2 linked regions of the Cricetulus griseus genome follow. The protein of the gene in region 1 interacts with the protein of each later gene in a pairwise test. Links are inferred from orthologs where the notes say so. Each region holds a gene or a part of one and is shown in the gene's direction. Other genes may lie near its edges. The genes, in order: Chn1 and Hemk1.

What was found.
Region 2: the proteins of Chn1 (region 1) and Hemk1 interact in binary tests that used the Homo sapiens proteins (3 or more experiments, as listed by UniProt). The two-hybrid records come from large-scale screens. The link is inferred for Cricetulus griseus from reciprocal best matches to the Homo sapiens genes CHN1 and HEMK1.

The regions. Positions count from the first base shown.
Region 1 is NC_048599.1:101,528,139-101,531,953, forward strand, and holds the end of Chn1 (N-chimaerin), read left to right. Parts: intron 1-1,146; coding exon 1,147-1,252; intron 1,253-2,621; coding exon 2,622-2,793; 3' UTR 2,794-3,470; downstream 3,471-3,815. UniProt on the Homo sapiens protein: GTPase-activating protein for p21-rac and a phorbol ester receptor. Involved in the assembly of neuronal locomotor circuits as a direct effector of EPHA4 in axon guidance.
Region 2 is NC_048597.1:215,506,573-215,510,387, reverse strand, and holds part of Hemk1 (MTRF1L release factor glutamine methyltransferase), read left to right. Parts: intron 1-532; coding exon 533-667; intron 668-960; coding exon 961-1,025; intron 1,026-1,300; coding exon 1,301-1,350; intron 1,351-2,739; coding exon 2,740-2,848; intron 2,849-3,511; exon of another isoform or gene 3,512-3,635; coding exon 3,636-3,731; intron 3,732-3,815. UniProt on the Homo sapiens protein: N5-glutamine methyltransferase responsible for the methylation of the glutamine residue in the universally conserved GGQ motif of the mitochondrial translation release factors MTRF1, MTRF1L, MRPL58/ICT1 and MTRFR.

The DNA.
Region 1 (3,815 bases):
AGCATACCCAATATATACAGTATACACAGTATACCCAGTATACAGTGTCACTGAACAGAGCTGTGGATATAGGAGAGAGCCCAGAGTTTCTGCCTTCTGTCTTAAACATTGGCTCCTGGGCAGATGGAGCCTTCCCAGCATTTCAGGGCTGCTGTCATGATTGGGACTCCTAATCATGTGTTAAGTCCTGTTGTGGCTGGCCTGAGGCCCGGCATTTAAGACACTCCTTGTAACCAGAGTGAGAACGTGATTGCTTTTTCAAGAGCACAGAAGTGCAACAGCTTCAGCTGTTTGTGTTACAGGTATGATTGGCAGATGGAGCAGAGCTCTTACAGTGAAGAGCTGGTGTGTGAGCCCTTAGTGCAGATCTCAGCTGTCTAGATCTTCTCTTCATGGTGGACTCCTTTGGAAGAACCCCCTTAACACAGGATGCCACCATGGCATAGCACACTTAGAGCTAACTGCCTGTTGGGTGTTCTTCAGAACATGTTCTAAGAAATGGAGAGTCCTCATGCTTTGAAGGGAGAATTCATTTTGCTCTATAACACACAGCATAATACATATAGCAAGCAAATGTTAGATGATACATTTCTTAGAAAGAAAAGGACTGGGGTATTCCTCAGTAGTAGAGTGCTTGCCTAGTATTTATGAGGTGTGGGTTCTGCCCATACCACTACAAAGATAAGCAACATCATTAAAAGCAAAGAAAAAAAAACATTGTCAGTAAGACTTTGCCAGGAGTCCCAAGAGGCAGTAGGCTAGCTTGTCTTGTATACTACAGGGGTTTCCAAAATATTCTGAGAAATATGTATATCTATAATGTTCTCAGATGAATTCATTAGAGTGTATAAGGCTTTATTTGTGTGTCTGCATGTGTCTGGATTTGTTACAGTTACATTCTGAATACCTAGTGTGTCCATTTTCTTCAGTTGCCAGACCATAAGACCCTCAAGTGGGCTGGGGGAAGCCCATTAAGCCCTGTTTCCACACTGAAGCTAAGATGGCCTTGGACAGCTACTTTTGGGTTATGAGCAAGGTTCAGTGAGATACTGTTTTTCACTTGCTGTACAAAAGCATCACGGGAGAATATTCCTAGGCAGTCACATCAGTTTTCTGCTAGAGCATCCTCCCTCCTTGCTATTGTAGAAATTATGGACCCTGATGAGCAGCTGGAGACCCTTCATGAAGCACTGAGACTGCTGCCGCCTGCCCACTGCGAAACCCTCCGGTACCTCATGGCACATCTAAAGAGGCAAGTTACAACCAAATTTCAAGAATAAAATTAAGCAAAAGGTGAAAGAAGGGACACGTTCTCTTGAGTGAATGTGTAGGTGCACAGCGGCATTGTCTTGTGAGAAACTGCGTTAGTTCGGAAAGGGTGCTAAAAATATTGTGCACAGCAGTACCACATGCCAGCCTCATGCCGACACCCAGGCCTTGTAGTTCTAGGACCTGTTTGTGAGTATGCTAGTATACTGCAGATGTTGGAGAGCATTTTGTAGAAGGAGAAAGGGATGCTGCTGTCAGTTTGTGAGGCAACTCCTTTTTCTTAGCTTATTGCTCCAATCTTGGTATAGGATTTTAGACAATTAACTACTGTTACCAACACTGGACAGTGGCATAAACAGTGATGGAGGAAGGAAGAATCCTTTCAGTTAGAATTTTACACTGTTTTATGACTGATGATGATCATTCTCTGTGAGTTGAAACAAAAATTTCACAGTTACATGACATCAATGGATTTAGGGCCTCAAACTCTAAAATCAATTAGAAACAAAAATTCTATATGCCCCAAAGCATGCGTCATCCAAAAGCACATGACATTACAGTCACTCGTGGATACCTGCGCCTTTCTTCTTTTCTTTTTTTCTTTGCTCCTCCTCCTTCTAGTCCGGTTTTTGAGACAGTGTCTTGCCATATAGCCCTGGATGACCTGCAACTTACTATATAGGCCAGGTTCATCTCCACCTCACAGAGATCTGCCTTCCTCACCTCTGTAGTGCTGGGATTAAAGGTGTGAACCACACACCCAGCTCTTTCCCCCTTTAAAGGCACTGTGAGTTAAAACTTTCTTTGAGTATGCTAACAACTAATCCCATTCGTAAAGTTTGCTGCATAGTTGGCTTTAGTTCTGTCATAAAGTAGCCATTTTCTAAGATGGTTGCACTGATGCTGTAGGGTAGCAGGAAGAGAGGCAGAGCCTGATTGTCCTCCCTGAGCCACTCTTCTGCTCTCACAGCTGCTCTCCTATACACTCAGGGTTCACTTTGCAGACAGGTCCAGGAGGAGCTGAGAGCCAAAGTAAAGGAAGGGCAGACCTCTTCCTCCTCCACCTCCTCCATTTTCAGAAATAACATCTGAGAAGGAGAGTCCACAAGTATCAGAACCCACACAGTCCAGATGTGAGCCCAGCCATCACCAGGACTTTAAGTTTTTTATCAGTATGACCTACTTCAAAAGAAGTCACATTCCTTGATGTTTCCGAGAAGCACGGAAAAACAACTTGGGAGAGCTGGCCAGTGAACACAAGCCTTGATGTGGCTCTGGTTCCATTTGGAGGTTTGGACTTGACGAAGAGCCTGTGTCAGTGAAGTCATCTGTGTTGCACTTGTGTCTTTCAGAGTGACCCTTCATGAGAAGGAGAATCTGATGAGTGCAGAGAACCTTGGGATCGTGTTTGGGCCAACCCTCATGAGGTCCCCAGAGCTCGATCCAATGGCCGCCCTGAATGACATTCGCTACCAGAGACTGGTGGTGGAGCTGCTGATCAAAAATGAAGACATTTTATTTTAGAGCTTTCATTTAAGGGGAAATGGTTTACACATGAAGGAAGGTTTTCTAGTAATTTAATTAGCTTCACTAGCTGCATTGTTTCTTGGTTAGAGGTTTGACCAAATACCCGGATTTAAATGAAGGAACTTTCTGTCATTTCTGTAGCACCACTCAGCTGTCCTTGTAAAACAGCGAACACACGCTTTCCGGTTCTGGTAATCCTGGGTGTTTATCATGTTAAGAGAAACTCAAGCTACTGCATGATTACCCCTGTTTGGTGAGGAAACCCCACATCAAGGAATCACAGACTTGTACCTGCATCACCTCTCTGTCCTGGCTTGTCTGTGGTTGTCACCCAGCATGCTTCCCAGAGTAAACTGTCATGACTTTGCTTTTGGGGTCCATGCCATTGGTTTCTGATGCTTGCACACACACACACATAAGCAGTGCCCTGGCTATTGCATCACCATCACTTTACCATATGCCAACTCCACAACAGTTCCTTTCCAGCTTCTCCTTCTCCAACATAGTGCTTTCTCTTCAGCAAAAGCAAGTGTGTTTTCAGGCCTGTTACTTCAGTAAGTTATCCTATCAATAAAAATGCACCACACAGCATCTTCTGTTAAATTATTGGTTTTCAGCTGTAAAGTTATATTTTTACCTGGCATGCATTATTAATTTATTAAATTTGGCTTTTAGAAATCAAAACTATTCATAGCTTTTTTTCCTTGTCATGGGGAAAATAGAAAATTGTATTTGGCATTAGTTTAACACCAATTGCTTCCCTCCCCTGCCTGTTGGTCACTAAGGCATTGTGGTAACCTCCTAAATAACCTCAGCCACCTAGAATCAGCATATGCTTGTTGGATTTATTGTCTTCTCCTATTGCTCTGGCAGAAATCTAATATTTCACCACTTTGGGGGCAGTTTAGCTTCATAAGGTGCAGAGGGTTCACTGAAAGGGCGACTTCTGAATACCTACCTGGGTTGTCTGGAACAGCTAGGGTGGTATGCATGAGCTTGAACATACCACCGAAGTTAAA
Region 2 (3,815 bases), on another chromosome or scaffold:
CCCATGGTTCTAGGGGGTGAAACCCAGGATCTTATATGCTGGGCAAGTGTTCTTCCTTTGCACTATATCCTCAGCTCCACAGTTCAGGCTCCAGATAAGGGCCTTGACTCTTGGGTGTTTCTTCATGAGCCAGTGGTGATGGTCTAGCAAATTAGTGCTCTAGAAGCAGGACTAGGCATAGAGGGATTGGCCATCAGATATGGTTCTCAGCATTGCTGTGAGTGTAAAAATGGGAAGATGTCTGGATGGCATAGCTGGGGTTCATTGTGCACAAACGCAGCAGATAAGGGATCAGTTATGTGATTCTGATTAATCTTTACTGTGTTCCTGAGGGGAGTGCTCCATTTTGCAGATGAGTAAGCTGAGGCAGGGACAGAATGACCCACCCGGAGTCCTTGCTGATGTCAAGATCACTTTGGCTTTGGCAGTCTCCCATCTGCCTTCACTAGGAGCCAGCTGCTTGGACCGCTTTGTTAAGGCTCCCCAGGAGCAAGAATGGCACCCAGTCTGATCCAGACCCTCTGCCTTCCAGGAACTGGTTGAATGGGTTTTAGAGGAAGTGGCCCAGAGGCCCCCTGCAGTGGGAACCAAAGGTGGTCCCCTCATTCTGGAGGTGGGCTGTGGATCAGGAGCCATTGCCCTCAGCCTTCTGAGTCAGCTCCCACAGGTAAGCCCCCCCACCCCTGCATCTCTCTACCCTGCCTTTACCTGACATTGAGAGAGTCACCCACTGGCCCTTTCTCCACGTCCTCTGCAGAAGCACTGAGGGAAAGTGGCCAGAACAGGAAGGTGCGCCCAGCACAGCATGGTGTCACCTCTGACTTCCATCCCTGTTGGTCTGGCTGGAACCTAACTATAGGAAAGCTTTGCTACAAGTTTCTTTCTTCTGGGGAGCTAGCTGAAGGTTCCCAGACAAACATTTCCCAGAGTTCCACCTCTTTTGCTTTGTTCTTGGGGCAGAGTCAAGTCATTGCTGTGGATAAGGAAGAAGCCGCTGTTAGCCTGACCCGTGAGAATGCTCAGAGGTATATGGGCTGGGAGGTCCAGAGAGCCAGCACTGGGGAGTTAGACTTTGGGACCTGAACTTGACCTTTATTCTAGTATCAAACCTAGTGTCTGACTTCCATTCTTGAGGGAGAGGTGCGATGAGGGTGGCCTGGCATGGGTCCCACGGGTTTATAAATGGATGGACTATGAGCTGTGTTGCTGATCTAAGAAGGGCTCACTTTCCCTCTTGATCCTCGTAGCCAAGGGCAACAGCTTGCATTCTGTGCTCACCACCACCTCCCCATCTCTCCAGGCTTCAGTTGCAGGACAGGATTCGGATCACTCGCCTTGATGTAACCTCAGGTACACCCCCTACTCGTCTTCTTGGGGTGGGTGTCCTGGATAGAAGGTTTGCTGGTGGGTGAGGCACTGCAGAAATGTGGTAAGGGTTCCCCAGTAACCATACCTGTGGGCCAGTGGGCCGTCTCAGAGCAGCCCTTGCTGAGGACAGACTGGGTGCTGTTGTTGTCATCTCCTCGGCTGATCTGACCCATGAAGGGACTAGCCACAAGGTCTTTCTGCTGGGGAGGGAGGTGTTGAGACAGGGTTTCTCTGTGTAGCCCCGGCTGTCTGTCTCTGCCTCCTGAGTGGTGCCAATAAAGGTACGTGCCGCCACTTCCCAGCCACAAAGTCTTTCTTCTCCTGGATCCCCTATAACTGATAAGTTTAACTAGTGTTTGTTTACTGGCAAGAGATTAAACAGATGTTCAAAGGAAAGCAGTTCAGAGCCAGCTGTGAGGGCCTCCACCTGTTACCTTAGCAATGGGGATGCAGGAGGACTCCTGTGAATTCAACATAGTGAGTTCTAGACCAGCTTGTGATACAAAGTAAAACATCTCAAAAAACAAAAACAAAAATCAAACAAAATAGCAACAACAAAGAAAGAAAACTTGGATGTGAGGGCGATTTGGCCCCGACATCTGTCACCCCATTGATCGCCAGGGTTGATTCGGCTGATCTGGCTGGCTAGGCGGGTGTCCCCTTCCTCCCCACTCGGTCGAAGAGGACGACCTTCCCCGAATAGAGGAGGACTGGTCTTCCGTCAAGGGTATACGAGTAGCTGCACTCCCCTGCTAGAACCTCCAAACAAGCTCTCAAAGAAAGAAAACTTTAGGGCCTAAATACATATTTATCTCTCTCTGCCTCCACCAGGCTATGCCAGGCTTGTGGCAGGCTTTGCAGTATCCTCAGGTTTCCAGCTCCAGTGCTGATCCTTCTATTAGCCATGGAATCCCCGGGCTTTATGTTAGTGTGATGCACCCGGTTTTGCATCTGGTACAAGTGGGACCCAGACAACAGCCATAAGGGTTGGCTGCGGGCGGCCTGTCCTCCCTATGCTTTGAGATTATATTGATTATAAAGCAGAGAGTGGGAAGCCCTTCCTCTGCCTGTGTAATCAGGGAGGGCTTACTGGAGGTGGCACTTGAATATTGCTTAATGAGGAGGTCTTGACAGAAGCAGAGAAAACATGGGCATGCTAGGTGAAGGGCTGCACGTCAGAACATGTCCACTCCTGGCCAGTCTGCTAAGTGGGGACTCTGGCTACTCATCTTCAAGTCTGACCAGGTCTAAAGACAGGCCCTCAATATGACTTGAGGACAGTGACTACCTAAGGGACAAGGTGGCAGGTAGAGCTACCAACTTTTCCTTCTCAGTAGACCAGTTCGTTCTATGTGTCCTCTTTGCCCACAGAAGGGTGCTGGACACGCCTTTTGCCCTGGGGCCCTGTGGACTTGGTGGTCAGTAACCCTCCCTACATCTTCCACAAGGACATGGAACAACTGGCCCCAGAGATTTGCAGGTACAGGGTAGGTGGGCGTGGCAGAGAAGCTTTAGTAGGATTGGCCTGGGCTAGAAGACTCCATCTGGAGAAAACAGGGGGGCCCAGGGGGACAGCAGGGTTAAAGAGGCACACTTTAGAGCTTGCTGCCTTACTGGGACCATTTTCAGCTTTGCACTTCTGACTCCTGGAGACCCCTAGCCTCCCTGAGTCTCCATTTCCTGCTTTGAAAGAGGAATGGTAGTGCTTGCAGGACCATGGGAAGGACTTGGCATCCGGCATAGCGAGACCTAATAGAAGGCACTCGTAGAGGGATGTGTCATTTTACACCAGACCAAGGCCGGGAGAGGGAGGGTGCCCTGTCTAAGGTCCCGTGAGGATTTCATGGAAAAGCCAGCACTGAAACCTCTGGTTGTGGAAAAACCATCCTACATTTATAAGGATGGGAAACTCAGGGTAACCATGTGTCCCTACATAAGCACTGGTGACACAGGGTGGGTGCTGGAGCCTCTTTTCTGGGCTCAAAGAAGTAGTCAGGATTGGGTTTTAAATGTCCTCAGATCAAGAGCAGGAACAGCTAGGTTCTGAGGGCACCTCATGCCCTGAGGGCTGTCTGTCAGTGGGACTCAGCAAGTCCATTTAGCCCTGCCCTATGGGGGAAAGTAAAACCTGTTATCTGTTTAGGAACCATTTGCTAATGGATCCTCCCTCAGCTTACCTGTCAACCCAGAGTCTTCAGTCCCACTGGGCCCTTTGTGAAGGCCTGCTTGGCCACCCCAGGCTCTTACCTGCCATGCTTTCCGTTCAGTTATGAAGACCTGGTGGCCCTGGATGGTGGTGAGGAAGGCATGGACATCATTACCCACATCTTGACCTTGGCGCCCCGGCTTCTGAATGCCTCTGGGTATGGATCCTGGCCTCCTCCACTTCCATTGTGTAATTGGCATGCCTTGGCATCGCCGTGCCCCTGCCTCTTGCAGGCCAGACA